Oryzias latipes: one gene and its partner. The protein of the gene in region 1 purifies or fractionates together with the protein of each later gene. This does not show direct contact. Links are inferred from orthologs where the notes say so. Each region holds a gene or a part of one and is shown on either strand. Other genes may lie near its edges.

Region 1 (4,340 bases):
ACTCTTCAACAGAACCCTTTTTTAATGCGGTAGGTAGGGTAGAAATCAAGTTTTAAACTTCCTTTGCAACTTTATCATCCTGGCCTTTTTCAAAACTATTTTTATTTGTTTTTACTTTGTTGTCATGAAATCCATATTTTCAATCCAAGCTTAAATACAAAAGAATATTACAGCCATAGGGAACAAAAAAAGGCATTAGTAGATTTTTTTTTTCCTTTAAAGAATCATAGCTTTCATCTCAGAATTCAAACATGTTGTGTTCTGGGATTTGATTCAAATTTTTGACTTTTTTTCTTCAAATTTGGAGATCAAAGTTGGAAATTAAATTTAAAAAAACAGAATTAAAGTCAGAATCTTAGAATTGTTGACTCCGATTGTTAAGTTTAATTCTCACAATTTTGATTTGGTTTCCAAGGTTTCCTACTCTAATCTTGGAATACAAACAGTCAGAATTTCAGGATTAGGGTTAAAATTGTTAGGAAAAAAAGTCAGGACAAAAACAGAATTCTGAGGTCCAGACTTTAATCTCAAAATTTGGACTTCTTTTCCTCAGAATTCAATATTTAATTTGCAAAACGTTTACGGGCGAAATGCAGACAGGCTGCCCAGGCCGGTTGTAGGATGATGTCATGAAATGGGCGGAACCCACACGGAGCGAGAGGCGGTGCTTCAGAGATCGAGTCTATTACTTCCAGGTTGGAAAAGAACTCAGGAAAATGACTCATATTTAATAAAATAAAAAAATTATTTAGTGCACCATGGGTAATATACAGTCAGGAGCTAAGCCATTTTTTAAACACAATCCTTTCATTTCATGGGCTCGTAAGTAATTGGACAAATGAAATAACTGAAAACAAAATGGTCATTACTAATATTTGGTTGAAATCCCTTTGTTGGCAATGGCAGCCTGAAGTCTTTAAATTAGAATTTTAAAGACAAAAAATTATAATGCTAAATTTTAAGTCAGAATTTTAAGATTAAAATCAATATTCCAAGATTAGGTTGGAATTCTGAAATTAAATTGAGCATTTTTAAAGAATTCAGAATTTCTCACCACTTTATTTCCATTATGTTCCTTATCCTCTTCCATACTCAAAGGAAATCAACAAAATTAACTTTGTCTCGCATTTGGCCAAATGTTCGAGAGCAGCCAGTACTTTTATGTAGGTTATTTTATTTATTTATTTTATGTTTGCACGACTTGCAAAATGCTAATTCAATGTCTTATTTGGCATAAACAAGTTACCTCCTGGTTTTAGTGAATATCTATATTTTGGTCAGAGCTTCAGCCAAACGTCAGCATTCGTCTTAATCACACATTTTATTTATTTTATATTTATATCATTACAAATTTGAGTTTTTCCCTCCAACGGGGGCTCCAAACCCAGCAGTGACGCAGATGGGCGGGGCATGTTCAGGAGAGCGCCTCTCTGATTGGCTCGTGCGGCGGTATAAAGCCAGACCGAAGCGTTTCTACCGGCTCTGAACAGACGGAGATACCCGCGGACACCGACAGTCTCCCAGGCCAGCGAGGAGGGAGTTCCCCCGCTGACAGACGGCCCCCAGCTGTGGACCCATTTCCCGTGATCGTAACTCAATGAAGGAGAGACGCTCCGGCCAGAAGTCCTCTCTGAAGTCCAGCATGGATGCGAGTCAGAGTGTGAAGTGCAAGATAGTGGTGGTGGGGGACAGCCAGTGCGGGAAGACCGCGCTGCTTCACGTGTTCGCCAAGGACTGCTTCCCGGAGGTGAGACGCCGCAGACTCACGGCACGAAGATCCCGTGAACGCATCACGGGGAAAACGTCAAATTCTGTGTGTTTTTCCTTCAGAGTTACGTTCCCACAGTGTTTGAAAACTACACGGCCAGTTTTGAGATCGACACCCAGAGGATCGAGCTCAGCTTGTGGGACACTTCAGGTAAACATTTAAAACACCAAACTTTATTGTTTTTTTTTTTTTAAATTATCAATAATCAAATGAATCCCTGACTCATTTTAGTGGAGGATGCTGGGAGTTTTACAAAATAAATGCAATTTTTCTTTTTTTTTTAAACCTCCATTTTTGGATTATTTGCATTAAAAACATTTCAGTGGATGATTCATCGGATCTGACTCTAGGAACCAAAACCAAAAAACTTGGCCCAGCTGGTATTCCAACTCATTTTGGGGAATTCTTCTCACTTTTCTGAGAATGTGCAACTTTTCATTGACTGGTTCACTTTTTGCCCTTTTATCTAAGGTTTGTGCACCCCCCCTTCCCCAGAAAAAAAACACCCCTAAAACTGCTGGGATCCAGAGGTGTTTATCTCCACTGTGTTTGTCTGGAATCACAGAGGTTTGGCCGCCATGGAGGCACACACTGCAAGTGTGCAGAGGCATGTGGTGTGACCGTGTGGGAGAGAGGGATGGGTGGGGAGAAGTTGGCCGCCAGCTGTTGTGGGTTCCTGGTCTGGAATTCCAAACATTGCGTCGGAATAACTTGGAACACGGGAACCGGCTCATGAGTTTCACACGAGGGCCCCCCCCCCCAAAGCACAGAGAACCCTACCACCCCTTGATTGATGGGTGCTGGTTTCCAGTGTCGAATCTTGTGGGAGGGGGAAGGGTTGAGCAAGGCCGGGAACTGCACCTATCCTTTGTTGCGGTGTGGTGTGTTTTGGTATTTGCGTCATTTAGTGTAAACGCCTGCCAGTTGTTGGACCCTCCATTTGTCTGAGGGGAGGGGGTGTCATAGCAGGGCGAGGAGGACTTTGACTCATGTTTGCACGCCCCAACCAGCAGCAACGGCGCCGGGGTTGAACAGGACAGGAGCACCAACCCTCAGGCCCCCTCCTGACCGAAGGGAAAGTTAGCAAACGCCCAACAGGCTCGTTACTGTTGATCACAGGAGATGCATCAGATGAAGGTCCTTCCAGCTGGCATGCGAGACGCTGAAATTAGCTTCATTATTTATGACCTTTAGTTAACGGGAACGGTCGACGCTAGCTGTAAAGAACAGCCTGACGTGGTTATTGCCGGATAAACTTGACAAGTGTTGCTCATTTTGTCTTGCTGCTCAGTGTAGACTCTGAAATGAGGTTCGCTTCTGGTTCAACTCGGCACTCTTTTGTTGACTTTAACGTAAAAATATTTTTTTATTTAAAACGTCACAGTTTGACTTCCGGAGTGAAGTCTGTTTAAATCGAAATTGGTGTATTTCACAAAGCAACCACTAGAGTTTTTTTTTTTTTTTTTTTTTTTTTTTTTAACGCCTAGACCTCTATATTAAATGAAACGTCAAAAAAGTCCTATCGATAGGACTTCTTTAAATGTTGACTTGCAAATGTCACACTTGAGGGTGCTATTCCTTTGATTTTAACGCCAAATTCTTTGATCTCGAAAGACTTGGTGGTCGTATCTCAAGTTGGCAATTTTTAGAAATATATTTTCTAAAAGATGAAATCACTGACTCGTATTGTATCTTCCTTATTTCTTTCAGTTTAAGATGCCTAAACCGTAAAATTGTTCTTTTACATTTTGTGCGACCTTGGAAATAGGTTCCATAATGAATGATGAGGCGGCTCTTATTCATGCCTCCTTCATTTACACTCATACCTTTTTTCAATAGAAGTTTTCTGCATCTTGAAAGTGAATAGAAACTTTTGCAAAAAAAAACAAACAAAAGCTTGCGTTTCTTGTTGCCATGGAAACGGGATAATTGATAAATGGTTAATTCTTCTTGCCTTGCCACTCTTTTGTTGACATGGAAACAGGAGATGTAGCCAAATAATTTCCTCTCTAAACTGTATGTCTTTATGTTTTAAAGGGAATAGGCAGCAAAGTTTCTATAGATCTATGCTAAATCTGATCCTAAATGCATCATCCAGCTCTGAGGGGAGGCTAAATGTGAGTCAGTGTTTGCCAGTTTTGAAATGTCTATAATAGTTTGACTCGTTGCACAACTCTTCCCTGTTTATGCTTTACTGTTGTTTCCATAGACTCTGTCGTAACCGTGCCGACGCGTTTGGACTTTCAGAGTTTGAAATGCTGGTTTTGTCAGAATGCTGGTCTGTGTTTGACGCTGCAGGGATGTTGATCCAAAGCAGATGTTCCTACAGTCAGATGTGAGGGTTTCTTTTTGGGTTTTGCAACTTATTGTTTGAGCAATCTGAGAGCTAAAAGAGTTTTTTTATTTATTTTTTTGGATTTTCCTGGAAAACATGCTGATGTGAATCGGTACTTCGGCTGTAATTGGAGTTCCTTGTTGCTCGTTTTAGGAGAGTTTCCAAAGCCTCAGAGCATAAATGTTGCGATAAAACCCCATCAGCAGCTCAGCAACCACAGGAATTGATTTCTCAAAG
Region 2 (2,348 bases), on another chromosome or scaffold:
GGATGAGTCCATGTCCCTGCGCTCTGATTCCTTGGAGGCGGAGCTGACCAAGTGTGCATGAGAGATGGGGGCGTCGCCGTGGAAACGTTGCAGGAGGTTGTCCTCGGAGCGTGACAGCGCGGACAGCCGCTGTGGGCACTGCAGCTTTGACTGAATGTGAGGCCGCCGGCGAGGTTTACTGGACAGAGCAACGGACGCCTGAGACCCCAGAGCGGCCTCTTCCTCCTCTACCTCCTCCTCTTCATCATCCAGCTCCTCGGTTACCGCCTCCCCCTGCTCCTCTCCCTTACTCCTTCGATCTCCGTCCTCCTCCTCGGTTTCCTCCCCTTCACTTGGGCCGGGCGGCGGCTGCAGCTCCCGAGAGAGCGATCCCGGGGAGAGGGTACCGTAGGCGCTGTCCATGGAGAGAGACCGGCACTGAGCGTCCAGCCCCTCTACCTCCAGACCGTTCAGCTGGGGGGAACTCTGGAGGTCTGAGCTGTCAGACAGAGGAGACTTATCCCCGGGTTCCTCGATGTTTATGCTGGGGGGCGGCGGGGGCTCGCTTCGCTCCTCCATGTCCATCACCGACAGCGTCTCAGTGGAGCCGTCTGAATGACTGCAAGAGACATTTATTTTACTTCCTAAACAACACATGAGTCAGATCAAGCATTTTTGGAAAATCAGGTCTTTTCAAAATTATTTGAAACACAAAAACTTTAGCTCTTTTGTTCTTTAAACTTGTCCCAAAGCCAACGGCAGGGTTTAAAGATCACATTTACTATTGATTTTTTTGATGGGCGCTTCTTAAGGCAAGACCGTCCGATACATCAATCGCGATCAACCGGTCAAGCGTGATGGAAGTGCCGGGGGATAGTAGGCCATCAAAGATACAAGAAAAATAGATTTATTCATTTATTTACATGACCATCAGCCTCGCTCTGAAATACGTCTTGATAGACATGCCAAACGGTCAATCGAAAACCCTCTGATGCATGCGCCAACGCATAGCGGGTCTCAGCACGCTCCGTTATTGAGGAATTTGTAAATGTACCTGGAGTTCTGCTGCTCTTTATGCTGCAGGATTGGGGAACTCGTGGTGGAGTTGCTGCTCTCATCGTCAACGTCCACCCCGGAGCAGCTCCTTGGGCGCTGCTGCCGCCGCAGGTCCTCCTCGCTGCGAAGCCTCTGCAGCTGATTCTGGAAAAACAACCCAGGAAGCACATTTTACAATCTGAGCCATTTCAGAGCTAAAAACAATATGAACCATTTCTGTTTTACCAACCTGGATGTTGTAGATTGCATCGATCCAGCATCGCCCCTGAGTGGCGCTGTTGGCCTGGAAAGTGTAGGCCGCCACAGCGCTGTTGAACTCGTTGAGGTAGATGAGGATAAAGGAGCCTTAAGGGACAAAAAAAAGGCATGAAATTAAACTTTCCTGCTTCAGTCTTTAACAAAAAGTTTAGGTAATCCCGGCCGTCACAGTCGGACCAGCAGCAGAACTCTTACCAGGATCTTTCAGCTCTTTGCAGACGATGTTGTGGATGAGGAGGGGCTGGCGGATAACCTTAACCTTCTCCAGCCTCTTCACCGGTTTGGTAATCAGCAGCAGGTCAGTGAACAGGAAGCAGTAGACGTCCATCTGAGCAGGAAATGAATTGAATTGTATGTAAAGTTGGGACAGCTTTTAAAAAAAAAAAGTAAACATTTTAAACGTGAAATATGAGGCAACAGACTGAAAGCAGGTGTAGCTTCTTGGCAGAGGTAAGCGATAATGGAGTGTTTATAGGGAGTGGTGTGCTTTTACCCTGCTGTCCTTGCCCTCTTTCATCCTCAGCGCTCCCTCCAGCTGCAGCTGTCGAGTCTCCTCTGGCGACGTTCCCCTCATGGGAGCCATCAGATCGAAGCGGTTGTACTCTTTGAGGATCTAAAAGAAGACGGGAAGAGCGTGAAGCCTCCAATTTTACCTCGAGCCTCGACGGGTGCTGGGAGCCCGGGATGCAGGCTGGATGGATTCATTCTGGTTGTGTTTACTGATGTTGGAGCGGTTTTAAGAGGTCAGTCTGTTTTTTTCTACGTGTTGCAAACAAGGTTTGGAGTTTGCGTTGTCACAGTAATGTTGTTTTAGCGGTATCAGTCTGTTTTTTACCTGTTGCCTACAAGGTTGGGTACTGTAAATACTAGGGGTTTAACGGTACACTAAAATCCCAATTTGGTTCGGTTCAGAATTTCATTGGTCTCGGTTCGATACATTTTCGGTATTTTTTCGGTACGAAAAAAGGCAGAAAAAAATTTCTTGCAAAATGCATTTATTGGTTATATATAACTATAATAAAATTAACTTATGGAGGTGATCTGCTATGTAAAAT

Evidence for each region. The genes of interacting proteins can lie anywhere in the genome.
Region 2: the proteins of rnd3 (region 1) and plekhg5 purify together in Homo sapiens (affinity purification with western blotting; 3 studies listed by BioGRID and IntAct, with this or other methods). This does not show direct contact. The link is inferred for Oryzias latipes from reciprocal best matches to the Homo sapiens genes RND3 and PLEKHG5.

Annotation. Positions count from the first base shown.
Region 1 is NC_019860.2:17,608,107-17,612,446, reverse strand, and holds the start of rnd3 (rho-related GTP-binding protein RhoE), read left to right. Parts: upstream 1-1,475; 5' UTR 1,476-1,597; coding exon 1,598-1,747; intron 1,748-1,830; coding exon 1,831-1,918; intron 1,919-4,340. UniProt on the Homo sapiens protein: Binds GTP but lacks intrinsic GTPase activity and is resistant to Rho-specific GTPase-activating proteins.
Region 2 is NC_019865.2:24,328,739-24,331,086, reverse strand, and holds part of plekhg5 (pleckstrin homology domain-containing family G member 5), read right to left. Parts: intron 1,907-2,348; coding exon 1,787-1,906; intron 1,622-1,786; coding exon 1,489-1,621; intron 1,381-1,488; coding exon 1,265-1,380; intron 1,180-1,264; coding exon 1,034-1,179; intron 599-1,033; coding exon 1-598. UniProt on the Homo sapiens protein: Functions as a guanine exchange factor (GEF) for RAB26 and thus regulates autophagy of synaptic vesicles in axon terminal of motoneurons. Involved in the control of neuronal cell differentiation.